Pelodiscus sinensis: one gene and its partners. The protein of the gene in region 3 interacts with the protein of the main gene of each other region in a pairwise test. Links are inferred from orthologs where the notes say so. Each region holds a gene or a part of one and is shown on either strand. Other genes may lie near its edges.

Region 1 (10,150 bases), on a different chromosome or scaffold from region 3:
ACATTACACTCTCTCAGATTTTAGATAATTTCTGTTAGAGTTCACTTTTAAATTATCAGTGTTATGAAATGTCTAGGGCCATACCAAATTCATGGCCATGAAATATGCATCATGGATCATGAAATCTGTTCTTTCCTGTGCTTTTACACTATATTATACAGATTTCACATGGGAGACCCAAGCGTCTCTCAAACTAAGGGTCCTGGTCAAAAGAGAGATGGGGTGGGGGGAGATCATAAGTTTATTTTAGGGGGGCTGCAGTATTGCCATCCTTACTTCTGTGCTGCCTTCAGAACTTGGTGGCCAGAAAGTGGCAACTGCTCTCCGAGCACCCAGCTCTGAAGGCAGCACCCAGCCAGCAGTAACGCAGAAGTAAAGGTGACAATATGATATACCACACCACACTTATTTCTGCATTACTGCCTTCTGAACTGGGTGGCTGTTGATTGAGGGCCCAGCTCCGCAGGCAGCAATGCACAAGTGTGGCAATACAATACCATCCTATCCTTATTTCTTTGCTTCTGGTGGTAGCAGTTCTGCCTTCAGAGCTGAGCTCCCGGCCAGCAGCTGCCACTCTCCAGCTGCTCAGTTCTGAAGACAGTGCCAACAGCAGCACAGAAGTAAGGGTAGCAGTACCATACACACATACATACTATTCCTATTGGGGGTCAGGACTAGGGATGTAATAGTGTAGTCGATTAACCCATTAGCAAAAGCTTATAGGTTAATGCTTTAGACTACACATATTCCACACACACACCCCGGGCCAGTAAATTTTTTAGTAGGTTGGCCAGCAGCCCAGCTCAGTTCTGGCTCACGCCAAATCCAGAAGCTCATCCCCAGGAGCTGTAGCAGAGGCAGCAGCATTGGGCGACAGGCAGCTGGTCCGTGAGGAGAACTGGTTTTTAAACTGGCTCTCCTCACAGATCAGCTCCCACCTGGCAGCAGCATGGAGTGGCAACAGGCTCCTCGGGAGTGGGGCCAGAGCACACTGGCTGCTGGCCCCACCCCAGATGACTATAGAATAGTCGAGTAACTGATAAGAATACATTAGGTTAATTGACTATTCAATTAACTGATATGTAACATCCCTAGTCAGGACCCCTACAATTACAACACCATGATATTTCTGATGTGAATAGCTGAAATCATGAACATTTACTATTTAAAAAATTCTACGACCTTGAAATTGACTCAAATGGACTGTGTCAAATAACCAAAGCTTATGCAAGCTTAAAAATCAAAATATTATTGGTCAAAGATTCAACAGCACAATACAGAAACAAATGACCTAGTCTCGAGAACAGATTTTGCAGAAGTTATGTCTTCATGCTGTTCCAACGCATTAACTCAATTCTACTTATATTTATATCCCTGTTTATCACGGACAGGAAATGCCCCCAAATTGTTTTATTTCATGAGACACCCTAATCTTACTTTTCTGTGCTGTTTGCAACTGTTGTCCAAGGTTCTTGGATATCTGTTCCTAGTTAGTTAAACAATATTGCAACAATTACAATAGTTGCTTATTACTTAAAAAAGCCTAAGCAAAATCACAGAACACTATCTTGTCCTTGATGATCTGTACATTGCTAAAAATAAAAGAGTACACAGTTTCTAATACATTTCCAGAACCAAGTGTGCTGAAAGTAATAAATTAAGCATAGATACATATCTTTCAATAATACATTAATTTTGACTAGGTAATTTTGTCTAACACTTCCAACTGAAAGTACTCCACCACTCCCAATGTTTAAGAGTTGTATTTTTTTGATCGGTCAAGACATATAGCAAGATTCTAGTAAGCATGTATGACATTTTCCTATTTAAATGCTCAACCTTAAAATTAAAGCCAATTTTCTTCAAATTTGTTCTGTTCTTTCTATCTCAATGTATCTACAAACCATGCTAAGCTCATTATATTTGAAGTAATTGACTTAACCCACGTACAAAATTTCTGATTGAAAACTTTAAAGTAGTACACCCAAGTTGGTTCATTTTTCCCCAAAAATAGATTAATTCACCTCCAGGTCGAGAGCAAGCCATGAAAACTTTACCACCTCAGGAATTAGCTTTAAAATTCTGAGCAAAGAAAAAGGATTAGAATAGAAAACAGATTCAACCATAATCATATATAAAAACTTAACACATATAGTGTACTGCATGTTCAAGCCATTATAAAAGTACTAGCTAATTAAGTCTCAGAATCATATAAGACAGAGATATCCCAATTACACATTGTTTACATGCAAGCAGCTTCCTTACAGTGTAACCAATTACTCCACATCATTGGAGATGCTGCCTAACAGTTATTAAAGGTACTTCAGCAACAGTTTTACAATTACTTCAAAATATCTAAATGCCTCCAGTTAGCAGTAAGCCTGCCCCACAGGCTTAAGACAACTTCTATGGCTGTGGTATCCAATAAGTTTTGAAGCAGTAGCCACTACAGTAGCTACTGCTATAGCGAACTAGCCACACTCAACCGACCAAATAGCTGCTAGTGGCTAGTGTGTTGGACACCACAGTTCAATGGGATGGGCTCATAAGTGTTTCAGAAAATGTCATGTCTGTCCACACAAAGAGTATGAACCATGCAAGTGTATGCTTGCTGGGACTGCTGCCTCTGGAATGCCTGGTAAGTCTCTGCCAATTCAAGGACAAATGAAAAGTCTGGTTTGGAGAGAGTGATACCTGACCCCCAACTACAGGGAAAGATATCCCATTTTCTCTTCCTTGGGAAGGAAGGCAGGAAAAGGGATGTAGCTGTGAAAGAACAAGGAAAGTTGGTTTGTTTGTTGTTGTTTTTGGCAATTGGAGTCCAGAGGGTAATGTTTGTATATGTTTTCGACAAAAGGAGGAATTCTATCTACTAAGGATTCGGATTTGAGCTGACCTCTTCTCAAGCCTCTTCTCCACAGACATGTAGAGTTAAGAAGTAAATTTTTCTACTTCTCCAGACCTCCATCACACTTTGTTTTAGCATGATGGCGGTCTGGAGAAGTAGAAGAATTTACTTCTTAACTCTACATGTCTGTGGAGAAGAGGCTTGAGTGTAATAGAGAAAGGGGCAATTCCCATGCTGCAGATGGCACTGGCCGGAGAGGGCTGGTAAGGGAGCTGCGTCCATGCTTGGAGGGGGGAAGGCAGTTTCCATTCTTTGGGGGCACTCACCAAGCGAAGCTAAGGCAAGAATAATCTCCAGGCATGGGGGGGGAGGGCTGGAGCCGGGCAGGGTGGGCTGGGGTGGTCTCCAGGTCCTGGGGATACACATGACAGTGGAGAGCATGGGGGTCAGGGACAAGAGGGGTCTCAGGAAGGGGGGGGGAGAAGGAGGGAGGTAGGCTGGCAGGGGACAGTCTCCAGGCTCTGGGAGCGCTGCGGGGGGAACTGGGGCAGTCTCTAGGGGCACTGGCCGAGGACGGGGGGGGGGGGGCAGGCTCCAGGCTCTGGGAGCGCTGGGGGGGGGGGGGGGAGACTGGGGCAGTCTCTAGGGGCACTGGCCGAGGACGGGGGGGCAGGCTCCTGGCTCTGGGAGCGCTGGGGGGGGGGGGAGACTGGGGCAGTCTCTAGGGGCACTGGCCGAGGACGGGGGGGGGGGCAGGCTCCAGGCTCAGGGAGCGCTGGGGGGGGGGGGCTGGGGCAGTCTCTAGGGGCACTGGCCGAGGACGGGGGGGGCAGGCTCCTGGCTCAGGGAGCGCTGGGGGGGGGGCTGGGGCAGTCTCTAGGGGCACTGGCCGAGGACGGGGGGGGGGGGCAGGCTCCAGGCTCAGGGAGCGCTGGGGGGGGGCTGGGGCAGTCTCTAGGGGCACTGGCCGAGGACGGGGGGGGCAGGCTCCTGGCTCTGGGAGCGCTGGGGGGGGCTGGGGCAGTCTCTAGGGGCACTGGCCGAGGACGGGGGGGGCAGGCTCCAGGCTCAGGGAGCGCTGGGGGGGGGGGGGGCTGGGGCAGTCTCTAGGGGCACTGGCCGAGGACGGGGGGGGGCAGGCTCCAGGCTCAGGGAGCGCTGGGGGGGGGGGGCTGGGGCAGTCTCTAGGGGCACTGGCCGAGGACGGGGGGGGCAGGCTCCAGGCTCAGGGAGCGCTGGGGGGGGGGGGGCTGGGGCAGTCTCTAGGGGCACTGGCCGAGGACGGGGGGGCAGGCTCCAGGCTCAGGGAGCGCTGGGGGGGGGGGGGGGCTGGGGCAGTCTCTAGGGGCACTGGCCGAGGACGGGGGGGGGGCAGGCTCCAGGCTCTGGGAGCGGTGGGGTGGGGGCAGTCTCTAGGGGCACTGGCCGAGGACGGGGGGGGGGCAGGCTCCAGGCTCAGGGAGCGCTGGGGGGGGGGGGCTGGGGCAGTCTCTAGGGGCACTGGCCGAGGACGGGGGGGGGCAGGCTCCAGGCTCAGGGAGCGCTGGGGGGGGGCTGGGGCAGTCTCTAGGGGCACTGGCCGAGGACGGGGGGGGGGGCAGGCTCCAGGCTCAGGGAGCGCTGGGGGGGGGGGGGCAGTCTCTAGGGGCACTGGCCGAGGACGGGGGGGGGCAGGCTCCAGGCTCAGGGAGCGCTGGGGGGGGGGGGGAGAGACTAGAGCAGGCTCCGATAGGCGCGGCGGCTTCTCCTCTTTCCCTCCCCTTAAGCAGCGCCCCCTCACCTCCTCCCACCGCCAGCCTCCGGGCGCGGGCTTTGCTCTACTCCGCCACCATGGCCCCGCTGGGCATCCAGCCAACGCTCCCCTCAGGCCGAACCCAGGCGGCCGCCTCCCCCGCCCCGAGTTCTCTTCACTTCCGGCCGGCAGGGATGTCTCGGCCGGAAGTGAGTTTGTTTTTCCTCCGGGGCGGGGCGGGGCCGGGCGCGCACCGCTCGAACCTGACGGAACTCCGCCCGCGGGCCTGCGAGCGTCTTAAAGGGCCAGCGGCCGGCTTGGCGGGAGGCGCCCAGGGAAGGGTTCCATAGGTCAGTGCCTATGAGCCGGGTTCCATTGAGGTCAGCGCCCGCCAGCCTGGGTGAAGCCGGGCCGCTTCCTGGCAATGGGAAGTGTAAATACATGTGTGGGGATGCACTTGAACCTCCCTGTGCCTCGGTTTCCCCACCTGTACCTTAGGAATAAGAGCTTTGCCTCCCAGGCGTGGGGCGCCTCTTTTGGCAGCTTTGCCCCCACTAGTGCAACCCCCAAATGTTCAAAAAACCATGAGTCCGGCTCACCAAAAATCAAGAGACTGGCTTAAAAATGACAGGACTGTAAATATAATAGACGGGGTGTTATTTTTATTTACCCTCTGCTTCTGGAGCCTATAGGGTGCTCTGGGGTCAGAGTTGGAAACTTTCTTCACAGTCACAGAGGCTAGAAACTTTTTTTTTTTTCCTTTCAGAAAAATGAAGTTTCTAGCCTGCATGACGGTGGGGGAAGCTTTAGTCATCACATATCCACTGGGCTCCAGGAGCAGAGGCTTTAAGGAAACCAGTCACCATGGCTGTGTCTAGACTGGCAAGTTTTTCCGCAAAAGCACCTGCTTTTGCACAAAAACTTGCCAGCTGTCTATTCTGGCCGCTTGATTTTGCGCAAGAACACTGACTTTGTAATGTACAAAATCAGTGCTTCTTTTGCAAATACTTTCATGCTCCTGTTCGGGCAAAAGCCCTTTTCCGGAAATGCTTTTGCGCAAAAGGGCCATTGTAGACAGATAAAAACTGTTTTGCGCAAAAAAGCCCCGATGGCAAAAATGGTGATCAGGGCTTTCTTGTGCAAAACCGCGTCTAGATTGGCACTTTTCCGCAAAAAGTGCTTTTTTAAAAGCATTTGCGGAAAATCATGCCAGTCTAAACGTAGCCCATGGGATTCATGACAAAATTAAGAGAGTTAACAACAATGTTGTGCCCTCCCCCCTAACTACTGTACTGGGACAAATCCAGACATAATTTATCTGGCAGCAGACAGGGAATTTGCTGTTTAAAACAGACTGCTCCATCACCACCAGTGCATATAATACATATGAGGTCATGTCACTCCCCCACTACAAAGACTTTAACAACACTCTGTGACTGTGGAGAAATTACAGCTAGCAGCATCTACATGCTCTTACCAAAAATAGGAACACTTATGCTATGTATACAGTGCCCGTTTTGCACAAGAAATATGCAAATGAGACTAAGCGTGGAATATCATCGAGCCTCATTTGCATATGAGCACCAGCAAGAGGCTTTTACGCAAAAAGCGGGTGCTCATTAATTATGCATTAATTATTAAAGGCACAGGAAGAAACCATCCCAATGCGCAGCAAGAAAAGCAAATATGGTAGGCGACCAGATTGGCTTACTGGGGAAATCCTTCGTGAGCTTAAACACAAAAAGGAAGCTTACAAGAAGTAGAAAGGCCTTGTGTTCCCCTGGCCTTGTGTTCCCCTGAAGCAGGGGTGGGGCAAAGGGCAGCATGGCTGGTTACACTGGTGCTGGCCCACACACTGCCCAAGCCCCATGTCACCCTGAAGCGCGGGGCCCTCCCTAAAGCACGAGGTGCAGGGAAACTGCCCTGAACAGTCCCTATGAATGGGACAGCTCTAAAGCAGGTAGAATTATAGAACACTACAACTGGACCTTGAGAGGACAGGACTCAGTACCATTTAGACCAGTGTTTCTTAAACTTTAAGACTGAGGAACACCAAGCAATATTTTTTCTTTTATGAGGAACACCAAGGATTTTTTGTTGAGGGAAAAAAAGTCAGGGGACATTATTGAGAAAAAAAGTGCCTGCCCCTAAACCTTCCTGGCTGCAATTTAAGCCCATTGCTTCTTGACCTATATTCAGGACAAGGAGAACAATTTTTCTCCACCTTCTTGTAACACCCTGTAGATTCTGTCGTACCTCGGTGTTCTGTACCTCGATACCTTTGGTGGTCTGAACTGTCAATGTCAGCATCATCTGGTCAGGGTTGTCCTGGCATGCTCCTGACAGGACCTCTACTCCATTGATGATGATAAACTTTCGGCTGTGTGCGTAACAATCAATACTCCCTTTATCTAGAGTGTTAGACCCCGTTCACTTGGGTCAACACAGGAGATCTCTGAGAGGCCCTGGAAATGACAGATGCAGGCAAGGTTTGAAATCAATCAAGCAGGTTTATTGTCAAATGTGAAGCTCTACCAATTGGTAACAGAGATCGGTACAATGTTACACCACTGGGCACTATGGCCCGCGTTAACAGGGTATAAACACCGGGCAGGTCTATTGCCGTGTATCAGATATTAACAGCAGTTAGTCAAAGTTAAGCTACTGTGCATTTTGTAAGTTTAGGCAATGACATCTGCCGTTCAGGCACCTAGTGTGCCCGCCCTCTCTCCCCCAAGGTTGGCCGGAGAGCACCCTTTGCGGTGTCCTTTTATAAACAGGTACAAACAACTTACATACTTCTTTATGTACCAGGTTGCCACCCTCTGTTGCCTAGTTACCACCCCTCACTTTATGCAAGGGGGGCTTACCTTCTATATGTCATCCTGTCATTTCCGACCTGGTCCTGAACCTAGGTTGGTATGAGCCTAACTCATAGGGAGTTCTTGTACCAGGACATTCCTTAAGATGTTCCGTTACTCCCTTTTGGCTTACAGTCTGTACTTGGTGCTTCCCTGTGTCCTTCCATGCTTCACCTAACTTACACAATTACAGTTATCAGTAGGGCCTCAGTCTTGGCTCCTGTGTTACTGAACCAAAGTCTTGCTCACTGGATTACAGGGCTGTTGCTGTTTTCATGTTACAGGCTTCTATTTAGGCCTGTTGACTCCATGTTACTGAACCTCAACTTACTACAGATACTTGAAAATTGCTATTATGACCCCTCTCAGTTTTCTCTTTTCTAAACTAAAGCCCAGTTCTTTCAGTCTTCCTTCATAGCACATGTTTTCTAGGCCTTTAATCATTTTTGTTGCTCTTTTCTGGATCTTCTTCAGTTTCTCCACATCTTTCTTGAAATGGGGTGCCCAAAACTGGTCACAATACTCCAACTGAGGCCTAAACAGCACAGAGTGGAAGAATGACTTCTCGTGTCTTGCTCACAACACTCCTGTTAATCATGGTTGATTTTTTTACAACAGCGTCACACTGTTGACTCATATTTAGCTTGTGGTCCTCTATCACCATTAAATCCCTTTCAGTAGTACTCCTTCCTCAACAATCCCTTCCCATTCTGTATGTGTGAAATTGATTGCTCCTTCCTAAGTGGAGTATTTGCATTTGTCCTTATTAAACTTCATCCTATTTAGCTCAGACCATTTCTCTAGTTTGTCCAGATCATTTTGAATTTTGACCCTATCCTCCAAAGCACTTGCAACCAGCTTGGAATCATCTGCAAACTACTTTTTATGCCATCATCTAAATCATTGCCGGAGATATTGAACAAAACCAGTCCCAAAACAGACCACAGAGGAACCCCACTTGTTACGTCCTTCCAGCATGATTGTGAACTGTTAATAACTATTCTTTGATAACAGTTATCCAGCCAGTTATGCATCCACCTTATAATAGCCCTATCTAGGTTGTATTTCCCTAGTTGATTGATAAGGTCACACTAGCCCATGTTAAATGCCTTACTGAAGTCTAGATATACCACATCCACAGCTTCTCCCTTATCCACAAGCCTTCATATCCTATCAAAGGAAGCTATCAGATTGATTTGACATGATTTATTCTTTACAAATCCATGCTGGCTGTTTCCTATCGCCTTATTTTCTTCCAGATGTTTGCAGATGAATTCCTTAAGTACTTGTTCCATTATCTTCCCTGGCATAGAAGTTAAACTGACTGGTCTGTAGTTTCCTGGGTTGTTATTATTTCCCTTTTTATAGATGGACACTATATTTGCCATTTTCCAGTCTTCTGGAAACTCTCCCAACTTCCATGATTTTCAAAGATGTTGGCTAAAGGCTCAGATACCTCCTCTATCAGCTCCTTGAGTATTGTAGGATGCATTTCATCAGGCCCTGGTGACTTGAAGACATCTAACTTTTCTAAGTAATTGTTGTCTTGTTCTTTTTTAATTTTAACTTCTAAACCTACCCCATTTCCACTATCATTCACTATGTTCGGCATCCCGTCACCTTCAGACTTCTTGGTGAAAACTGAAACAAAAAAAGTCATTAAGCACTTCTGCCATTTCCAAATTTTCTGTTCTACTTTCTCCCTCTTCTCTGAGCAATGGGCCTACCTTGTCCTGGGTCTTCCTCTTGCTTCTAATGTATTTGTAGAATGGTCTTCTTATTACCTGTTATGTCTCTAGCTAGATTTAGCTTGTTTTATGCCTCTTCCTTTGTAATCTTGCCCCTGTATACCTGTGTTGTTTGCTTATATTCATCCTTTGAAATTTGACCTAGTTTCCACTTTTTATGAGACTCCTTTTTGATTTTTAGATCATGTGAGATCTCCTGGTTGATCCAAGGTGGTCTCCTGCCATACTTTCTATCTTTCCTACACAGTGGAATAGTTTGCTTTTGAGCCCTTAACAATGTCCCTTTAAAAAACTGCCAACTCTCTTCAGTTGTTCTTCCTCTTAGTCTTGCTTCCCATGGGACCTAACCTATCAGCTCTCAAGTTTACTAAAATCTGCCTTCCTGAAATCCGTTATCACTATTTAGCAGTTCTCCCTTCTACCACTCCTTAGAATCATGAACTCTATGATTTCACGATCACTTTCATCCAAGCTGCCTTCCACTTCCCAATTTTCAACCAGTTCCTCTCTATTTGTTAAAATCAAATCAAGAACAGCTTCCCCTCAGTAGCTTTCTCAACCTTCTGAAATAAAAATGGTCTCCAATGCAGTACGAGAACTTGTTGGATAATCTGTGCCCCACTATGTTAGTTTCCCAACCTATGTCTGGATAGTTACAATCTCCATCACCACCAAATTCTGCACTTTGAATGATTTTGTTAGTTTAAAAAAGCCTGATCTACCTCTTCTGCCTGGGTAGGTGATCTGTGGTAGACCCCTAGCATGACATCACCCTTGTTTTTTTACCCCTTTTAACCTAACCCAGAGACTCTCAACAAGTCTGTCTCCTATGTCCATCTACACCTCAGTCCAAGTGTATACATTTTTAATATACAAGGCAATGTATGCATATGTATTATATGAGGAACTTGTAATAATGCCCAATCCTGTATTTCAGAACTATAAAACTACATTCCTCCAT
Region 2 (10,888 bases), on a different chromosome or scaffold from region 3:
TGACACTGGGCAGAAACACCTCCCAGAAGTGGCCCACCTATGGGTGGACCTGTGCCATTTTGGTGGGTATAGATTGTTGGGTGCAGGGGGATGTAGCTGCATTGGCCCCAGGAGATTAGAGAGTTGGGGAGGGTGAGGTCACAGCGCCCAGCTGCCCACACCACCATGTGGGGTACTGGGGCAGCACTGACAGCCAGGGGAGAGACCCCCGCACTCTGCAGCACAGAGCCCACAGGCACTGAACTGGGCCATTGGGTTCCAGGGATAGCGCCCCCTGCTGAGCCCCGCCTTGCCTCCTGCAGCACAGCACCCCCTGCTGGGTCTCCCACCTGGCTCCCTGTTGCACAGTGGCCCCTGCTGAGCCTCTGCCCTGCTCTCTGCCCCTTAGCGCCCCCTGCTGTTCTCCATCCTGCTCCCTGCAGCACAGAGCCCCCTACCAACATCCCTTCTCTGCAGACATATTTAAAGCCTGATGATAGAGTTAGTTCCCTCCCCAACCCACATCCACATTGTCTGCTTCGTTTGATAAGGATCCCCCCTGTTTACACGTTGCCCATCATTGTACCATATGCCCAACATTCCTGCGTAGGGGGGAGCATATGGGATTCTGGCACAGAGAGTCGCCAGATGGGCTCCCACCCATGAGGCTGCAGCAAAGAACCATCAAACCAACGCAGGCCACATGAGATCTACACTGCTCATGTAACAAAGGGAGAGGGAAAATCCATGGGGCCTGTGTTGGCTCCATGCCGGTGATTATTCAAAGAGGGGGCTGCATGGGAGCAGGGGGGAGGTTTTCATTGGGATCCTAAAACATTTTTCTGCCTGTCTCTAAAACCAGTGCCATAGTGCAGTGTGGGGCAGTGCTGTGCTGCAGGGAGCGAAATAGAAGCTCAGCAGGGGAGCTGTGCTGCAGGGATCAGGGTACGGGCTCAGCAGGGGGCGCTGTGCTGCAGGCGTGAGATGGAGGCTCAGTAACGGAGGCTGTGCTGCAAGGAGCAGGTGGAAAGGATCAGTAGGGGGCGCTGTGCTGCAAGGAGCAGGGTGGAAAGGATCAGTAGGGGGTGCTGTGCAGCAAGGAGCAGGGTGGAAAGGATCAGTAGGGGGCGCTGTGCTGCAAGGAGCAGGGTGGAAAGGATCAGTAGGGGGCGCTGTGCTGCAAGGAGCAGGGTGGAAAGGATCAGTAGGGGGCGCTGTGCTGCAAGGAGCAGGGTGGAAAGGATCAGTAGGGGGCGCTGTGCTGCAAGGAGCAGGGTGGAAAGGATCAGTAGGGGGCGCTGTGCTGCAAGGAGCAGGGTGGAAAGGATCAGTAGGGGGCGCTGTGCTGCAAGGAGCAGGGTGGAAAGGATCAGTAGGGGGCGCTGTGCTGCAAGGAGCAGGTGGAAAGGATCAGTAGGGGGCGCTGTGCTGCAAGGAGCAGGTGGAAAGGATCAATAGGGGCACTGTGCTGCAAGGAGCAGGGTGGAAAGGATCAGTAGGGGGCGCTGTGCTGCAAGGAGCAGGGTGGAAAGGATCAGTAGGGGGCGCTGTGCTGCAAGGAGCAGGGTGGAAAGGATCAGTAGGGGGCGCTCTTCCCTGGCACTCAGCACTTACCTCAATGTCAGTGGACCCAGGTCATTATGTCATAAACTGCTGGGACTGGCTGGCTGAGGTGTGCATGGAGATTCCTGGTCTTCGACTGGATGGGTGCTGACATCATAACAGTCCCGGGCAGAGGGTGATGCTGCAGGTGCTTCTCTGCCTCTGTAATACACGAGAGTTTCTGGGGGCACTGCTGAGAGGGCCAATTCAGGGCGAATTGCTTGGAGACAGAGCTACTTACAGCTTAAGTCTGGGAGTCCTTCACTATAAGGCACCAGCCAATCACAAAGAGCAGTTCTATTCACCGTACTGGCCAGCAAGAAGTCCTACATGCAATTTCCTTAGACACTCCAGTGCTCCTGTGCCACCACCAGCACCGCTCCAAGCACAGATGAGAGGTTATGAAAACTAATCTCGCCAAATCAAAATGGGTTTTCTGACCGCAAAGGACCAGCCACATTCCCAGCTCACTTTAGATCAGGGCTACTCAACTTTGGAAGCTCTGGGGGCCACAAAAATACTCCCAGCACATGCTGAGGGCCGCAAGTTAAGTGTAGTCGCAAATAGCTTCTTTCACACTGATTAAGTGCAAAGTGCACACTGATGCATACAAAGATTAAGGCAAGACTACACGATTTGCAGGCCCCATTTAAGTCTGTTCTGCTGATACTAATAAAATGCAATATTTACCCGATTTCCACCCACATGACCGCACTTTTGATGAGAACTTTTAAAAAGAAAAAGTTATATCCCAGTGTTTTGCGTGTTTAGCTTGAAGCTTCAGGTTGTGCACTTCTCAGAGTGATTTCACTCAGAAAAAGTTTCCAAACCAGAATGCTCCAACCTGTGGTGGGAGGGGAGCTAGACGAGTCATGCCGGACACAAGAGGCAAAAAAGGACAGGTGCTCCGGAGCCCCATCCTGGATTCCCAGCAGGGATGATGTCCCAGTGGAGGCCATGTTCAAAGGATCCCACCCACAAGCCACATGTTGAGCCCTGTGTACACCCAAACCGCACCGCGGACCGCAAACAAACAGGCTGCAGGCTGCATGGTGAGTCGCCATGCGTTAGACTGACATTACCCAAAAAGCATGCTGTGCCAGTCCTTTTGAATCTAAAATCTAAAGGGTTATCAATAACAAGAAATGGTGAGAGCTACAACTCTTAAAGGAATCAAATGCATGCACCAGTGGCAAAGTGTTTGGGGCAAGCTTGAAGCAGAGGTGAATAATCTGCTGTTTTAAATCAAGTCTCTGGAAGACACCCACTCAAGGGTCAACCATCCCTTCAAGCTTCAGTTCCTAGCAAAGCCCCTCCACAGGTGAGACGCTAGAATAAAGACAAATGGGCTTTGTCTACACAGCTGGCTTTTGCCAGCAGAGAGTATGCAAATGAAGTGCTGATTAGCATTTTGTCCTGCTTTATTTGCATAATCGATTCAAGCTGTTTTTGCGCAAGGGATTTTTGCGCAAAAACAAGCAGTGTGGACGTTTCCTTTTTGTGCAAAAACCCCTTTTTGCTTGTTTGTGCGCAAAAACCCCTTGCGCAAAAACGGTTTGAATCGATTATGCAAATGAAGTGTGACAAAATGCTAATCAGCACTTCATTTGCAAACTCCAGGGCTCTTTTTATATCATAGGCCACAATGAAGGACGCTCATGGCTCTCAGTGGGAAAATGCAGCTACAAAATGCAGTTTGTCACCTAAGCACAGCCCTTGTCCATGCAGGACTCAGTCCTTTTTAGGCAGCTACCATGGTCCAAATTCCAGATTGGAGGTTTGCAGGAAAGTCCACTGAGTGCAATTGGTGCTTCCCATGCTTCATTGTCCCAATCAACCTGAGAAGCCTTTCTCACACACACACACACACACACACACACACACACACACACACACACACACACACACAAATATGATACCTGCCCACAAATAGCATAAACAGAATCAGCGAATCATTAGCTTTCTATAGACACCTCACGTGGCCCACTTTATACAAGATTTAGTGCAAACATCTAGCAGTGGTTGCAACAATCACCTGTACGGACATATCACACTCCAGTAACAGTGCAGCCTCTTGGGACCCAATTCCGCTGGAGCAAACCTACAGATGCTACAGCCATGTGAATTGATCCCGATGCCATGGGGCGCCTGTCTCTACATAGACCCTTGTTCCCTTGCTCTGTCACTCGCTTTGCTCCACCACTGTCTCATGTCCATGACTGTCCTGGCATTTCCCTCTTCCTGGATGCAAATGGGACCGTGCAGGAATTGTGCCCTACCAGTTAATACTCCATTTAGAGGCGTGGTGCAGAGAAGGGCGGGGAGAAGATGGGGGCTGCTACAGACCAGTCCTGGAAGGACAGGGAGACAAAAACATTCAGACAAAAGGGAAGGGAGCAGCTGTAGAAAAGGGATGAATTTTGTGTGCCCTGCAGTATCTCAGAGCAGTGTTTCTCAACCTTTTTTTTATAAAGTACCCCCTTAAAAAAAATAAGTACCCCCAGTGCTTACAGTTTTCAGACACACAATTTTTTTTCTACCATTTTAACACATTTGTTTAAAAAACTTAATCATAGCCGGGCGGGTGATGACATTTTTGGGTGTAAAAAGTACAAAAGTAATAAAGCGCTGTACAACTTAAAACAAAAATTCAGTTTTCTCCAAATTTCAGTTGTGTTGATGTAGCCCCCCGACTTCTCTCGAGTACCCCTAAGGGAACTCGTACCACTGGTTGAGAAACACTGTCTCAGAGTATAGCCCAGTACTACAGTACAGCCGCTCCTCGAGTTGCGAACGGTTGAGTTATGACCATTTGCTCCAAAGCTCCTATGGAGCGGTCGTAAAGGCGGTCCCCTTACGAACAGCGCGGTCACGTGTAACTCAATGGGGTCCAAGTTACGAATAGATCGAGTTATGGGCAAGTGTTTGGTCCGTAAGTCGTTCGTAACTCGGGGAGAGGCTGTAGAGCTACCCCGAGGGGCTTGTTGGAGATGACTGGGCCAATCAGGCCTCACACCACTTTACTAGAATTCTTTGATGGGTCAACAAGCATGTGGCCAAGGGATCCAGTGGATGTAGTGAACTAGGATGTTCAGAAAGCCTTTGACAAGGTCCCTCGGCGAAAGCCCTTCAGCAAAGTCATGGGATACGAGGAGAGAAGGCCTTCTCATGTAAGTAATTAGGCAGAAGACAGGAACAAAGAGTAGGAATAAATGGTCAGTTTTCATAATGGAGAGTGGTAAATAGCAGGGTCACTGTAGGACCCTGCGATCAGAGCTCTTTGGAGAAGAGGATATAAAACTACTGAAGATGGCTCAGTCCAAAGCTGACGGCAGGGAGTTACAAAGAGACCTCACCAAACTGGGTGACAGGGCAACAAAATGGCAGGTGAAATGCAATGTTGATCACTGTAAAATAATGCAGGTTGGAAAAAAGAATCCTCACTAATCATACAAAATGCTGGGGACTAAATTAGCTGTTACCATGTGAGACTCAGATCTTGGAGTCATTGTGGAGAGTTCTCAGAAAACATGCACTCAATGTGCAGCGACAGTCAAAAAAGCAAACAGCAGCATGTCAGGAGCCATTAGGGAAGGGATAGAAAGTAGGAAATATCACAAAGCCACAGTATAACTCCCTGGTATGCCCACATCTTGAATACTGTATGCAGTTCTGGTCACCCCGTCTCTAAAACAAAATATTGGAATTGGGAAAGGCAGGGGGTTGAGGAGAGATTCATGAGACCAGGACTGTTCACTGTAGAAAAGACAGCACTGAAGGGGCATCTAGCTATAGGACGGGGGTGAAGAGACTGAATGAATTTCATAGAATCCTAGAGCTGGAAGAGACCTCAGGAGTCATCAAGTCCAGCCCCCTGCCCAAAGCAGGACCAATCCCAACTCAATCAACCCAGCCAGGGCTTTGTCAAGTGGAGACTTAACAGATTTGCTCCTTCCTATAACACAAGAACTGGGGTGACCAGATGACATGGACGGAGGGGGGGGGGCAGGTTTAAAATGTTGCAGCCTGCGGAACTCACTGCCAAGGGATGCTGGGGAGGCCAGACGTGAACTAGGCCAAGTCTATGGGCATAGTGACCCTGGCCACCAGCAGCCCTGCCCATCCCTCTGAGCTGTGTCTATCCTCATAGCCCTGCGCTTATCCTGATTGGAAGAAGAAGGGGGAGAGATAACTACTCCTGCCAGCACTTAAGATGGCGCCCCACTCCTTCCCATCTTCATGGTGTGTTTTTTGCCACCATTCAAGATGGCGTCTCATTCCAGGCTTCACTTGCCCTTTGTTCCTCCCTCTCTCAAGACCGCAGTGCTACCCTCGTAGGAAACTGATGGAAGGGCGCGCTGACTGGCAGATGAATTAACCCAATCAACAGGCAGCTTCCAAAGATGGACATCTCTATCAGCCAATAGACTGGCAGTTCCTCTGGCGGCATCCGCTAACTCCGGCGTAAGGCGGGCCTCGGGCCTCCAGCAGACCAATGAGAGTGGAGGGAGCGGCCCGGAATGGCGGGGCGTCGCGCCAATGGGAGTGGAGGCGGAAGAAGCGCTCTGTCGCCGGCAGAGGACGCGCCGCGCGGGAGTGGGAGCCGGAGCGCGGTACCACGTGAGCGGCCTCCGGGAGCGCGAGGTGAGAGCGGCCGGGCGGGGCGCTCACGCGAGCCCGGGGCTTGGGCTGCGGCCTGGTCGGCGCCGCGTCTCCCCCGCCCGGCCCGGCAACGGGGGGGGCCGGGGCCGGGAGCCTGCCCATGGCGGCCGCTCTGCTTGTGGGGGGGGCACGTGCCCCCAGCCCCCCCGGATCCTCCAGCGCCCCCTAATCCCGCCCGTAGCCCCGCCTCCCGCGCCCCGCAGTCCCGACCCGCGGGCCCCCAGCTCTGCCAGCGCCCCATAACCCCGACCCCCCAGCCCCCCCCGCAAGGGTACCGTAATGCCCGTCCACAGCCCCCAGCCCTGGCCCCCCAGCGCCCCATAACCCCGACCCCCCAGCCCCCCCCGCAAGGGTACCGTAATGCCCGTCCACAGCCCCCCCAGCCCTGGCCCCCCAGCGCCCCATAATCCCGACCCCCCAGCCCCCCCCCGCAAGGGTATCGTAATGCCCGTCCACAGCCCCCAGCCCTGGCTCCCCAGCGCCCCATAACCCCGACCCCCCAGCCACCTGGCTAGCCCAACCCCCCCCCCCGCAAGGGTATCGTAATGCCCGTCCACAGCCTCCCCATAACCCCGGCCCCCCAGCCCCCCCCCCCGCAAGGGTACCGTAATGCCCGTCCACAGCCCCCAGCCCTGGCCCCCCAGCGCCCCATAACCCCGACCCCCCAACCCCCCCCGCAAGGGTACCGTAATGCCCGTCCACAGCCCCCAGCCCTGGCCCCCCAGCGCCCCATAACCCCGACCCCCCAGCCACCTGGCTAGCCCAACCCCCCCCCCCCCGCAAGGGTATCGTAATGCCCGTCCACAGCCCCCCCAGCCCTGGCCCCCCAGCGCCCCATAATCCCGACTCCCCAACCCACCTCCCCAAGCGACCCAGTGTCCCATCTAGTGCCCCTCAATCCTGACCCATAGCCTCCCAGTCAGTGCCCCTCAATCCTGACCCACAACTCCCCTGGCTGTCCAGGCTCCCCACTCCCAGCTCTGCCAATGGCCCTCAATCCTGCCCAAGGCCCCTGGGCTAATGAAGTTTGGGGTTACTCCCCCACCCCAGCTCTGCCCGTGCCTCACGCTCTTGACCTGCAGCCTGTTACCCCAGCCTCATCTCCGTCCCAGCTCTGTGGGTGTGTCTCCATCCTGACCTAAAGCCCTTGTGCAAGTCCTGGGCTCCCCTCCACCTCTGTTGGCTCAGCACTGGCCTGAAGCCTTTACTAGCCTAGTACAGGCCTGGGTCCCTCAGTTCTGACCTGTCCAAACCCTGAGCTCCCTGTGCTAACACTGTTGGTACCTTCAGTGCAGCCCCGCAGCCCGAGTGCCCCGTTCCTCGCAGAATGGCGGAGCAGGATGTGGAGAACGAGCTGCTGGATTATGAGGAGGACGAGGAGCCCCAGGTGGTGGCGGACGCGGTGCCCCCTGCAGCAAAGAAGGACGTGAAGGGCTCCTATGTGTCCATCCACAGCTCAGGGTTCCGGGACTTCCTGCTCAAACCCGAGCTCCTGCGAGCCATTGTGGACTGTGGCTTCGAGCACCCGTCTGAAGGTAGGAGCGGAGCCGAGGCCCCTGGCCCCTGGGAGCGCAACCCCCTCGCCAGCCCGCCTGGGAGGACCTGCGGGCGGGGGCCATAGAGAGCGGCGCTGCCTGGTGAGAGCTGCGGGGATACGGGGGTGTCAGCAAAAGGAGTGTGATCCTGAGATCTGCCCTGCCAACTGGGGGCTACGGACGTTCAATAGCGACTGACTAATCGAATAGTCGATGTATTTTGCATTGACTATTCGATTAGTCGATGGGGCGCCTCCACCTTCGAAGTGTAGCAACAGCTCTAGGGCCCATGGGCTGTTGCTACACTTCAAAGGCGGAGGTGGAGCCTGGGATCAGCTGGGAACTCCCCCACTGACCCTGGGCTCTGTGTGGCGCTGCCGCTTTGAAACGCTGCGGGGAGCCTGGGGATACCCCAGCTGGCCCAGGCTTCAAGCGGTGCTACTGCTTTCAAGTACCCTCTCCTCTTTCCCCTCACCCCGCTGCCTCTTTCTGATGGAGGCAGCAAGGGATGGGGTGTGACCAGCCGACTAGTCCATCAGGCCTGTCTGCATTGGGGAAGCAGGGAGCGCTCTCCTTGGCACTCAGTATCAGCCCCAGTGCAGCACTGAGGGGCCCTGTGCCGCTGGGGGTGGGGTCTCAGTAGGTGACCCTAATGCCCCAGTGCTGGAGGGGGATGGGTTTAGCGGTTTGAGCAGCGGGCTGGGAGTCAGGACTCCTGGTTCTCCCCTCAACATGCTGCGCCCCATCTAACTGTCGTGTGTCTGCCCTCCCCTCGCAGTGCAGCACGAGTGCATCCCGCAGGCCATCCTGGGCATGGACGTGCTGTGCCAGGCCAAGTCGGGCATGGGCAAGACGGCTGTCTTCGTGCTGGCCACGCTGCAGCAGATTGAGCCGGTGGATGGGCAGGTATGGTTTGGGGGGGGGGGGGGGGAGCAGCCCTCTCTCTGACCCATTCCATGTGGGAAGGGGCCTGGGGCTGCCTATCCAGGTGTGGGGTAGACTTGGTGAAGAGACATCCTGGGCTCCAAGAGAAGGGCAGGGAAGGCGACGTGGACCCCTGATGCTTTAGCTTAGTCTGGTCTCCCCAGATCATTCATCCCTGTGAAGGGGCAAAGGGGGGGCACCTGTTCCCCAAATCTTGGAAGAGGGGGGAGGTGTCCATCCCCAGGAGGGTGTTCCTGGGTGGGGGTGTTGGGCTGCATCCCTGGAGAGGCAGGATGTCTCATGGGGTGCTGAGGTGACCCCGTCTCTCCCCCCAGGTGTCCGTGCTGGTGATGTGCCACACACGGGAGCTGGCGTTCCAGATCAGCAAGGAGTACGAGCGCTTCTCCAAGTACATGCCCAGCGTCAAGGTGATCCCATCCTCTGGCCCCCCACGCTGCCTGCGTCAAGGGGAGCCCCTCCCCAGCACCTCGGATGCCCTCAGGGGATGAGGCTGGCTCCCCTGTGGAGCTGCAGTGCTGTTTGGCCTGGCTGCAGGGCACGAGGGGTGGAATGTGGAAGCTGTTCCCGTCTTCTCTCTCGGATTGTGTGGGGTGGGTCAGGACTCCTGAGTTCTCTCCCGGCTCTGGGAGCGGAGTGGGGGTTGGAAGTCAGGACTCCTTAATTCTAGTCTAGGCTCTGCCACTAACCTGCCTTTGGACAAATCCCGGTTCCTTTGCCTCAGTTTCCCCCACTGAAAGGGGGAGGTGCTCTCCTAGCCCCAGGTGTGCTAGGTGCTTCTGGTTTACTGCCTGGCTGCTGACCCTGCTGTTCCCCCGGTCTCCTGCAGGTGGCGGTGTTCTTCGGGGGCCTCTCCATCAAGAAGGACGAGGAGGTGCTAAAGAAGAACTGCCCCCACATCGTGGTGGGGACCCCGGGCCGCATCCTGGCCTTGGTGCGCAACAAGAGCCTCAACCTGCGCAGCGTCAAGCACTTTGTGCTGGACGAGTGCGACAAGATGCTGGAGCAGCTTGGTGAGAAGGGGGGTGGACTGGGGTGTGGGGAGGGGGAGGGGCTTGGCATGCCTGGGGCACCTGAGCTCAAGGGGCTGTCTGCATGCTCTAGCAATTTGGTGACTCCTGGTCTGACTCGCAGCCCTGGGAGGGGAGTGGGGTCTAGTGGTCAGAGCAGGGCAGGCTGGGTTCTATCCCTACTCCCCTCCCAGAGCTGGGACTACATACCAGGGTAAGAACCTACTACACCTGCTTGGGTGGAGAGCACCTCCTTCCTCCAAGGCAGAAGCAGTGGGCCTGACCATCAGGATCAGGCCTGGAGCAGCTCAGTTGTGTGTCCCTGGAACCTGCTGGTCTGAAGCCCAGGCTGGTATTGTAGGCGGGGCAGGGCAGAGGGAGGCAGACACTCAGTGTAGCGGGATCGGTCTGGGATCGAGCGACCTAGAGGTGCCTACCTGGCTCTGGTGTGACCTCGGCAGGCTGGTTCTTTGCATGGATCCCAGCGCCTTCCCCCGAGTGGTCCCTCTGCTGTCCCTGTGCAGTGACCCCTCCCTCTCCACAGACATGCGGCGGGACGTGCAGGAGATCTTCCGGCTCACGCCCCACGAGAAGCAGTGCATGATGTTCAGCGCCACCCTCAGCAAGGAGATCCGGCCCGTCTGCAGGAAGTTCATGCAGGACGTGAGTTGCCTACCCCCCTCCATGGGCCTTGTCCCTCCAAGAAGAGCAATCCTCAGACCCAGCCTGCCCCTGGCTGGGCTCCACACTCGTGGCCTGGCTGCCCGCAACTCATCCAGCACTTGCTGGCTTAGTGGGGGACCCTAGTCAGCTCCCCTACACTGAGCAGGAGGCAGCCTGGGAGGGGCCAGCTGGTCTGGGGTTCCTGGCTCCCTCACGCTCAGTCCCTGGGAGCCCAGTGTCCTCTGAGGCCCTGGCCCAGTGGGGGCTCACGCCTGGCAGCATCTGGGCTCCTGGCACATGCGTAGCCTGGGCAAGGCAGGCGATTCTGACCCATGCTGGGGCGGAGCTTTGACCGCCTCTAGTGGCTGGGTTTCAGGGCAGGGGAAGGATCTACTACAGCTGCTGTCAGAGGGAATTCCTTCCAGGCTCAGGTTGTGGAGCCCTTGCTGGGAGTGCAGGGTCCAAAATGGGGTGGGGGCAGGGCTGGTTACACTC
Region 3 (10,522 bases):
AAAAACACATGCGTTTGGGATGGATGCATTTTCAGAGCTTCAGTGTTCAAAGGAAGCTGCCTTCCTGTCAAATGAGTTGGTAGCAGACTGTAGACAGAAGATTGTGGTGCGACAGCAGCCTCTAGTGCACCACTCTGACTATGCATCTTCAGGAAGAAGCGCGAGTAATGCTGGTCTCTCTCTATTGCTCTTAAGCGGCAGCAATAGTGTAACTATTAGCCCATAATATGTATCTATGCCTGCTCTGTATCCAAACAGATACCACCCATTCGTAGAATCCTAGAGCTGGAAGAGATCTCAGGAGGTCATCGAATCCAGCCCCCTGCCCAAGGCAGGACCAATCTTAACTAAACCATCCCAGCCGAGACTTAAAAAGCTCTTGGGATGGAGATTCCACCACCTCCCTAGGAAACCCATTCCAGTGCTTCCTCACCCTTCTAGTGAAATAGTTTGCCTAATATCCAACCTAGACCTCTCCCACTGTAACTTGAGATCATTGGTCCTTGTTCTGCCACTTGTCACCACTGAGAACAGCCTTTCTCCAGCTTCTTTGGAAACTCCCTTCAGGAAGCTTCCAAACCGTTACAGGACCGCTTGGGAATAGTGACCATAATATACTAACATTCAACATTCCTGTGGTGGGAAGAACACCTCAGCAGTCCAGCACCCTGGCATTTAATTTCAAAAAGGGGAATTACACAAAAATGAGGAGGTTAGTTAAACAGAAATTAAAAGGCACAGAGACTAGAGCCAAATCCCTGAAAGCTGCATGGAATCTTTTTAAAGACACCATAATAGAGGCCCAACTTAAATGTATACCCCAAATTCAAAAACATAGCAAGAGACCTAAAAAAGAGTCTCCGTGGCTTAACCACCATGGAAAAGAAGCAGTGAGGGACAAAAAGGTATCTTTTAAGAAGTGGAAGTCCAATCCTAGTGAGATAAATAGAAAGGAACATAAACACTGTCAAATCAAGTGTAAAAATGTAATAAGAAAAGCAAAAAAAGATTTTGAGGAACAGCTAGCCAAAAACTCAAAAAGAAATAAAATGTTTTTTAAGTACATTAGAAGCAGGAAGCCTGCTAAAAAATCCTGTGGGTCCCCTAGACGATCGAGCTGTAAAAGGAGCAATCAAGGACGATAAAGCCATTGCGGAGAAACTAAACGATTTCTTTGCTTCAGTCTTCACGGCTGAGGACGTTGGGGAGATTCCTGAATCTGCACCATCCTTTGTGGATGATGAATCTGAGGAACTGTCCTGGATTGAAGTGTCATTAGAGGAGGTTTTGGAACAAATAGAAAAACTTAGGCTACGTCTACACTGGCCCCTTTTCCGGAAGGGGCATGTAAATTTCACCAGTCGTCGTAGGGAAATCCGCGGGGGATTTAAATATCCCCCGCGGCATTTAAATAAAAATGTCCGCCGCTTTTTTCCGGCTTTTAAAAAAGCCGGAAAAGAGCGTCTACACTGGCCCCGATCCTCCGGAAAAAGTGCCCTTTTCCGGAGGATCGGGGCCAGTGTAGACGCTCTTTTCCGGCTTTTTTAAAAGCCGGAAAAAAGCGGCGGACATTTTTATTTAAATGCCGCGGGGGATATTTAAATCCCCCGCGGATTTCCCTACGACGACTGGTGAAATTTACATGCCCCTTCCGGAAAAGGGGCCAGTGTAGACGTAGCCTTAATGTTAACAAATCTCCGGGACCGGATGGCATTCATCCAAGGGTTCTAAAAGAACTCAAATGGGAAATTGCTGAGCTATAATCTGTGGTTTGTAACCTATCCTTTAAATCGGCTTCTGTACCTGATGACTGGAAGGTAGCCAACGTGACACCAATATTTAAAAAGGGCTCTAGAGGCGATCCTGGCAATTACAGACCGGTAAGTCTAACTTCAGTACCGGGCAAATTAGTAGAAACAATAGTAAAGAATAAAATTGTGAAGCATGTAGAAGAACATAATTTGTTGGACAAAAGTCAACATGGTTTCTGTAAAGGGAAATCCTGTTTTACTAATCTGTTAGAGTTCTTTGAAGGGGTTAACAAACATGCGGACAAGGGGGATCCAGTAGATATAGTATACTTGGATTTTCAGAAAGCCTTTGACAAGGTCCCTCCCCAAAGGCTCTTGTGTAAATTACATGGCCATGGGATAAGAGGGAAGGTCCTTTCTTGGATTGAGAACTGGTTAAAAGACAGGAAACAAAGGGTAGGAATAAATGGTAAATTTTCAGATTGGAGAGGGGTAACTAGTGGTGTACCCCAAGGGTCAGTCCTGGGACCAATCCTTTTCAACTTATTCATAAATGATCTGGAGAAAGGGTGAGGTAGTAAAGCAGTGAAGGTACGTCTACACTACAGCGCTAGTTCGAACTAACTTAGTTCGAATTAGTTAATTCGAACTAAGCTAATTCGAACTAACGCGTCTAGAACTAAAAACTAGTTCGAATTAGCGTTTTGCCAGGTACAGGGTCTGCTGGCTGGGTGCTGGCAGGCTTGCACCTGGCACGGGCACCGTAGCCAGCCCGTGCCCCTTTAAGGGGTCCGGGGCCGGGAGGGGGGCATAGAGTTTCCCTGGTGTTGGCCAGAGTGGCCACCAGGGAAACCTGGGGAGGGCTAGCCTCCCACTAGTTCGAATTAAGGGGCTACACACCCCTTAATTCGAACTAGCTAGTTCGAACTAGGCTTAATCCTCGTAAAATGAGGTTTACCTAGTTCGAACTAAGCGCTCCGCTAGTTCGATTCAAATTCGAACTAGCGGAGCGCTAGTGTAGCGCCTATTAAAGTTAGTTCGAACTAATGTCCGTTAGTTCGAACTAACTTTGTAGTGTAGACATACCCTGGGGTAGTAAAGTTTGCAGATGATACCAAACTGTTTAGGATAGTCAAGACAGAAGCAGACTGTGAGGGACTCCAAAAAGATCTCACCAAACTGAGTGATTGGGCAACAAAACGGCAAATGAAATTTAATGTGGATAAGTGTAAAGTAATGCACATCCGGAAAAATAACCCCAACTATATGTACAGTATGATGGGAACTAATTTGGCTACGACAAATCAGGAAAGAGACCTTGGAGTTATCGTGGACAGTTATCTGAGAACTTCCCCGCAGTGTGCAGCGGCGGTCAAAAAGGCAAATAGGATGCTAGGAATTATTAGGAAAGGGATAGAAAATAAGACCCAGAATGTCTTACTGCCCCTGTCTAAAACTATGGTACGCCCACATCTTAAATACTGTGTACAGATGTGGTCTCCTCACCTCAAAAAAGATATTTTGGCCTTGGAAAGGGTTCAGAAAAGGGCAACTAAAATGATTAGGGGTTTGGAACGGGTCCCATATGAGGAGAGGTTAAAGAGACTGGGACTTTTCAGTTTAGAAAAGAGGAGACTGAGGGGGGATATGATAGAAGTCTGTAAAATCATGAGTGGTGTGGAGAGGGCCGATAAAGAAAAGTTATTTATTAGTTCCCTAAATAGAAGAACTAGAGGACACCAAATGAAATTAATGGGGAGCAGGTTTAAAACTAATAAAAGAAAGTTCTTCTTCACACAGCGTGTAGTCAACCTGTGGAACTCCTTGCCAGAGGAGACTGTGAAGGCTAGGACTATAATAGAGTTTAAAGAGAAGCTAGATAATTTCATGGAGGTTAGGTCCATAAAAGGCTATTAGTCAGGGGATAAAATGGTGTCCTTGGCCTCTGTCTGTCAGAGGCTGGAGAGGGATGGCAGGAGACAAATCGCTTGATCATTGTCTTCGGTCCACCCTCTCTGGGGTACCTGGTGCTGGCCACTGTTGGCAGGCAGGATACTGGGCTAGATGGACCTTTGGTCTGACCCAGTACGGCCGTTCTTATGTTCTTATGCTATCAATGCCAATTCTCTTCCAGAATATGATGTGAGGAAGTGGGTCTGGCCCATGAAAGCTCATCACCTATTAAACCATCTTGTTAGTCTTTAAAGTGCTACATAGTTTTTCCTTTTGTTTTAGCAAGATCAGACTAACATGGCTACCCCACTATTACTATCAAATCCCCCTTCACTCTTCTCTTCTGCAGACTAAATAAGCCCAAATCCCTCAGCCTCTCCTTGTAGACCATGTGTTCCAGCCGCCTCCACAGGATCCTCTCTGGTACATCCACATCCTTTCTATAGTGAGGTTGGAAGGGGGGGCAGAACTGGACACAATACTCCGGATGTGGCCTCACCAATGCCAAATAAAGGGGAATAATCACTTCTCTAGATATGCTGGAAATGCTCCTCCTAATGCCGTGGTCACCAACAGGTTGATCACATCAATTGGTCAATCGCAAGGCCTGAACCAGTCAATCGTGAGGCAACCGGGCCTCACCCCCATTTTCCACCCACCCCCCGAGAAGCCCCAGTACTCACCTCCAGCGAAAATGGAGGTAGTGCCGGCTTCCCGCGGGTGGATGGAAGTCCCGCAGCTTAGTGCCACTTCCGGAAGTGCGCTGGCTGGTTTGCCAGGCGCGCTGTGGGAGGGGCCCTGGGTCCGGAAGAGGAGCACGGTGATTTCCCTGCACCGGCGCAGGAGGTGTGAGTTGTCCCCGGGGCAGGCGTGCGCAGGGTTTCCCTGCATCATGGGGAAAGGGGGGGGGAGTGTGTTTTGGCCCCAGGCCAGACGAACGTGGCACCCTGTTCCCTGCCCCAGAACCCACTAGCACCCCTCCCCAGTACTGTGTCCCCTGCTCCCGACTGACTTTTCTATGCTTCAGGGTCATGCTGGACACTGTCTCTGCCCTCACAGCATCATCATCTGCTACTCAGACCTGAAGCCTCTGCAACTGCCCTAAGGAATCCTCTCTTGCTCACTCACTCCCCTTCTCCCAATCAGACTCTGATGTAGGTACAGTACTGCACTTCTAGTCTTCTATTCCTGCTGATTCCATCTTCTCTCCTCCTGCTTTTCCCTCTTTATCCTTAACGAGCAACACTGCATGTGATGCCTCCCATCGACATCCTGCCCTCACCTAGCTCTTTCCCATCCACTTTCCTTTCCGTTTTTCAACAGACTAATCCTTTCTTACTTCAGCTTCAGTATTGACATCATGTCAAGCCCTTTAGCTGTCTATCTCCCCTCCCTCACCTCTTCATTCAACCTGCTAGTCTCCCACTCATGAAACAGCCACTCTTTTGTAGTGAAGCACTGGAATGGGTTATTTAGGGAAGTAGTGGAGTCTCCATCTCTAGAGGGCTGTGTCTAGACTGGCCAGTTTTTCTGAAAAATCAGCTGCTTTTCCGGAAAAACTTGCCAGCTGTCTACACTGGCCGCTTGAATTTCCACAAAAGCACTGACTTCCTACTGTAAGAAATCAGTGCTTCTTGCGGAAATACTATTCTGCTCCCGTTTAGGCAAAAGTTCCTTTTGCGCAAAGCTTTTGCACAAAAGGGCCAGTGTAGACAGCTCAGAGGGGGGAGGTGGGCGTGTGAGCGGGGACTGATTGTGAGCAGAGGGGGAGGTGGGTGTGTGAACATGAGTGATTGTGAGCAGAGATGGGCGTGTGAGTGGGGACTGATTGTGAGCAGAGGGGGAGGTGGGTATGTGAACATGAGTGATTGTGAGCAGAGGTGGGCGTGTAAGCAGGGAGTGATTGTGAGCAGAGGGGAGTAAGTAGGGGAAATGACTGTAAGCAGGGGTGATTATCAGCAGGGGGAGTGATTGTGAGCAGAGGGGGGAGGGGGAGTGATTGTGAGCAGGGGGAGTGATTGTGAGCAGAGGGAGGAGGGGGAATGATTGTGAGCAGGGGGAGTGATTGTGAGCAGAGGGGGGAGGGGGAATGATTGTGAGCAGGGGGAGTGATTGTGAGCAGAGGGGGGAGGGGGAATGATTGTGACTGTGAGCGTGGACTATGGAATAGACCCAGCCCACACCGGTCGGCCCACGTGGGGAACACGCGGCGGGGTGGACCCGCACGAGACGTTCTGGGGACCCCCCGCCAGTCGCTGGGCAGAGCAAACACCCCTTGTGACGTCACAGGAATCCAGGCGCCACCGGCCTCTGCACACGACACTCGTGGGAGCCAGGCAAGGGGACCTATCCCGCCGAGCCCCGCCCCTTCGTGGTGCTGCCGAAGGCCCCGCGCGCTTTCCAGTCCGCCGCAGTCTTTGCCGCAGAAAGGCGCAGGTAACTAACTCAGTGCCTGTAGGAACGATCCACCCAGGGGCTCGTGGGAGCGGGAGTGGGCCCGGCAGGAGCAGCTGGGAGGCGAGGCACAAAGGGATGGAGGGAGACGGGAGGGAGGCCACAGCAAGCCTCCCTCATGGGCCGCTCGGGCTCCGTACAGGCCACCTAAAGGCCCTTTGTCCTCGACGGGTCGGCTTGAGGGTCATACTGCGCCGGCGCAGAGGGACAGACGGGTCGGACTGAGGGACATACCACGCTGCTGCGCTCCGCACCGACCAAGGAGGGAGGGAAAGTCCGGACCAGAGACAAAGGGGGGAGCCGAGTCGGGAACATCCGGGTCACTCGCTGCCGCCTCAATCCGGGACACGCGCGGGTGCTGCGGCCGCTCACGGTGAGGCCTGGCCGGGCGCGGGCCGGAGGGCGGCGGGCCCGGGAGCGGGCCCTGGGGGCGTTCGGGCTCCGGCCCTTGCTCCCGAGCCGCCTTCGCTAGGCCCGGCGGCCTCGTCCGGCGCGGGGAGGCGGGAGCGGGGCTGCAGCCGGGCCCGAGCGCCGCGTACCTGGCCCCGCCTCGGCCTGTGCCCCGTGGTGCCCGGCGGCTGCTCCCCGCGGCCTGTGGGCAGCCTCGGCGACTGGCCCTGTTGGGCCCCGGGGCAGGGAGCGCGGCGCTGGCGGCGGTTGTCAGCGCGGCCCGAAGGCTGGGCTGCGAGGCACTCGGCTTGTGGCAGGCTCGTCACCGGGTAACCCTCGTGGCGGCTTTATGTAGGCAACGCCAGACACCCCCTTTTCTGCTCTCCTGCTTTTATCGCCCAGCCTTGTCCTGGCTGGGTCCCCTCTTTCGGCTGGGTCCGCTCTTCCTAGAAGCAGAAGCTTTTCACTCTTTGGACAAATTATTCATCCATGTGTTTTAGCACAGACGGAATCCTTAGCTTCTTAAAAGGGATGTGTAGTTGTATAAGGCTTGCTGTGTTAAGCACTTTAATACTACTATTGTGCTGTGGGCTAAGTAAGAATTGTTAAAGGTAACTAAGATGATCACCCTTTTGTTTTGCCTGTAACTGCTCCTATGAACCCTCATTTAGAGTATCGTATGCAAGTCTAATCACTGTGCCACAGGAAAGATGCTGCTTTGAATACATTGCCTCACAGGGAGACAAACAAGCTATTGGCACCAGATAAGCTGAGTAGCCAGGGAAATGGGTAATGGGCTATGTTGAGCAATTCATCTTTCAGACCTAGGGTTTATATTCAACCAAAGTAGTAAGTGACAGGTCTTACCTGTGGGTGTTGTTTTATATATCTTACTTGAAACATGTTTGGATATCTCAATTCCATTCCTAGTGGACAAATATCAGCATAACAAAAAATAATTGCAGTGATTGGTGCTCTGTGGCAAAGAACTGAATGGAATGTGTAGGCTGACCTTTCTTAAGTTTTTAAGTGGCCTTTGAAGGCCTATGCAGTCTTCATGACAGACAGTTCAGTTGCTTTCACTAGTAACCTTACCATGCTTAGAGAAAAATCAGACTCAGCAGAATTTATTTCCCATGGGAAAAGAGAAGACTCCAGACTTGCAAAGTGTGAGATGGAATTGTGAGAAACTCAAAAGCTAGTAACTGTAACTGGAAAATCAGTTATTTTAGGTAAAACTGCTAGTGTAAAGAAAACACACATGGAACAGATTACTCGGGAAAGCAGATGAAGCAGAGGAGAAATGAGTGACACCCCTTAGATTTATTTTTAGGAGTGTTGAGTGAAAAAGCAGGAAGGAGGTCAGATTAGGAGATGCTGGAGGGACTCTTGGTGCCTTAGTGTATATCAGAATGCTCAATCTGTTAATCTTCTGTGTCGAACACCAACAGTGATGCAATCTGAGTGATAAATGCTTGTAGGTCCTTTCATGGAGGGACATTCACTGGAGGTTAGACAGTCGCCTGCCTTGTTCTCCTACTGCACAGTCATAAGGGGGGGGGGATCTGCGTTAATAAGTGGCTCTTGGATAGTCCTGTAGCTCTGTCATAATTGCAGTCAGTGGGTGTAAAAGAGAGGGCAAGCTTTAAATACTTTGTTTTTTTATCTTTAAGGTAATTGAAACATGGGGTATTCCATGTAGCAGTTAGTCACCAGAAATCATAGTAGCTGCCAAAGGCCTGCCACAAACACGCATTTGATTTAATAGATTTTTAAATAACCTGAGGTAGAAAATGGCATGTTTCCTATTCATTTTTTTTTTTTAAACTTTTGCACTCTGAACTTCGAGTATTTCATAGGGAAGTTGCTAAGATCAAAATGAGAAGATGCCAGAGAATAAGGAAAATTAGATCTCTATTTGCTTGCGACAATTTCCTATGATGCAAATAATACCTTATACTTTTTTGGCACTTTCTGTCTGAGGATTTCAATGTGTTTTACAGTTAATTTTACATTCTTTCGTAACTCAGATTTTCAGAAGAATAAAGAGGCAGAGATGAAAATGAAATAGTCAATTTTAATTGCATTATAAATTTGTAACCTTTATTGCCTATAGTTTAAATTACTTAAACTGAATTTATTTTAAATCTTCAATTTTACTTTCTTTGTTTACAAATGCTTGTCCAAGAGGAAAGCAATATATGAAGTAAACATTGAAAATCAATTAAGTATCAAAACATTTAGCTGTTTTCCTTTAGCTGTTTTCCATGATGTGAGATGCATCTGAAGAAGTGGGTCTTTGCCCACAAAAGCTTATGCTCCAATAAATCTCTTAGTCTGTAAGGTGCCATAGGATTCCTCGTCACGTGGGGTGGTGGTTAGGGTACGTAAGCTGTGAACAATGTTGAGGAATATTTAAATCTGCTATTGGAATTTTAAAGAGTCAACATGGAAACATTCTCTTAGGCATATATTTTATGAATGCTTTACCCCATCATTGTATGCCAAAGTTGTGTTGAGTCAGTTGTAAGTAAGTTGCCAAGGTCATCTGTGTTGTGGCATACCTGGGAATAAAACTCAGATCTAAAAAGTTGAGTCACAGCTCAATCACTAAACAACAGTTCTTTGATTCTTTGATTTTTATGCAACAAATGTTGTACTTCAGTATTTTCTCTGCACCTTTAACGAGAAACATAACTTAGACCCTCACTTGTCTAAAATCACATTTGGCAAATTTTTGTCTTGACTGAGTTAATTTTTGCAGAAAATTGTTCTTTATTTCTGCACATTTCTAGCTAGTCACTTGGAAATTATGTAGACTATGTACATTTACCTGTAAATAAGGAATTCATTTTTCTATTTAGATATTTATAGTAGCACAAGAGTATTCATAGAGCCATGTATAGTGTTTTTCTCTTGAGAATGAAAGATGTAATGTTTTTTGGTTAACTTTTAATGGGTTTTAAGGTAGAAAACTTACTACGTGCTATGAAATCCATTTTTCAGGTCTTCAGTTTTGATTATTCTGGAGCTAAAAGTAATGTGTACTGATGGAAATGAATTCTATAGCTTAAAAGTAAATTCAGAGCATAAGGGACTGTGCTTTCTTGTGAAATAATTAAGTCAGCTAATAAATAGCCTCACTTGATATATTTGTGTATATTATTAATTTTCAAAGCATGCATATTGCATTTTTCAGAAGAGGCTTAAGAGCTTAAATCTCATCAACTTTCAGTGGAACTTTGGCTCTGAAATGTTCATGTCTTGCTTACAAATGGGACTTGCACATGTAAGTCACTTACGTGCTTTTGAAAATGTTACTAAACTGTAGAAAGTACAGGATTCTATCCTCACCAAGCAATATTTCAGGGCTGTGATTTATTTTTTCCATATAATACTGATCTGAAATTATAGTAATGTGAAAGGAAACTGATTTATGTGAAATAATACTTGGCATTTAGAGCTTTATAAATATTAATTTAATTCTGCATGCTTCTATGAGATCCTTATTTCCATTTCTCTCAGGGAGTGTGGGGAGTAGGTAGATATACTTATTCAACCTAATACATTTGATTTTGATGTAAGTGGGATTTTAGGGCGCTTCTCAAAACTTAGTGAAACTTAATCTTGAGGTAGAAATACTTAGACGCTAATGTAGACATAATATTGTGTGGTAAACTTTTGAAAGTAGTCTGAGTTTATCCTGATTAATATGTTAAGCCCGTGGTCACCAACCCATCGATCGTGATCGACTGGTCGATCAGGAGGGCTTGACCAGTCGATGGCGAGGCATTCGGGGCCCCCCCCCCAATTTCCCTCACCCCCAAGAAGCCCCACTACCTACCTCCCTCAGTGGGGTAGAGGGAAGTCCGGCAGCTGTGCGCCACTTCCGGGGTTTCCGGAAGTGTGCTTCCTGCTCACCTCCTTCAGGTCTGTGGTGCGCTGAGAGGAGGTAGGAGTCCTGGAGGAAGGCA

The links.
Region 1: the proteins of UBE2I (region 3) and SETX interact in binary tests that used the Homo sapiens proteins (3 or more experiments, as listed by UniProt). The link is inferred for Pelodiscus sinensis from reciprocal best matches to the Homo sapiens genes UBE2I and SETX.
Region 2: the proteins of UBE2I (region 3) and DDX39A interact in a two-hybrid assay, tested with the Homo sapiens proteins (3 studies listed by BioGRID, with this or other methods). The link is inferred for Pelodiscus sinensis from reciprocal best matches to the Homo sapiens genes UBE2I and DDX39A.

Annotation. Positions count from the first base shown.
Region 1 is NC_134732.1:15,269,671-15,279,820, forward strand, and holds the start of SETX (putative helicase senataxin), read right to left. Parts: upstream 4,797-10,150; 5' UTR 4,629-4,796; intron 1-4,628. UniProt on the Homo sapiens protein: Probable RNA/DNA helicase involved in diverse aspects of RNA metabolism and genomic integrity.
Region 2 is NC_134729.1:10,430,504-10,441,391, reverse strand, and holds the start of DDX39A (ATP-dependent RNA helicase DDX39A), read left to right. Parts: upstream 1-6,092; 5' UTR 6,093-6,225; intron 6,226-7,533; 5' UTR 7,534-7,570; coding exon 7,571-7,778; intron 7,779-8,556; coding exon 8,557-8,684; intron 8,685-9,037; coding exon 9,038-9,130; intron 9,131-9,549; coding exon 9,550-9,733; intron 9,734-10,274; coding exon 10,275-10,393; intron 10,394-10,888. UniProt on the Homo sapiens protein: Helicase that plays an essential role in mRNA export and is involved in multiple steps in RNA metabolism including alternative splicing. Regulates nuclear mRNA export to the cytoplasm through association with ECD.
Region 3 is NC_134726.1:41,416,055-41,426,576, forward strand, and holds the start of UBE2I (SUMO-conjugating enzyme UBC9), read left to right. Parts: upstream 1-6,029; 5' UTR 6,030-6,140; intron 6,141-6,347; exon of another isoform or gene 6,348-6,531; intron 6,532-10,522. UniProt on the Homo sapiens protein: Accepts the ubiquitin-like proteins SUMO1, SUMO2, SUMO3, SUMO4 and SUMO1P1/SUMO5 from the UBLE1A-UBLE1B E1 complex and catalyzes their covalent attachment to other proteins with the help of an E3 ligase such as RANBP2, CBX4 and ZNF451.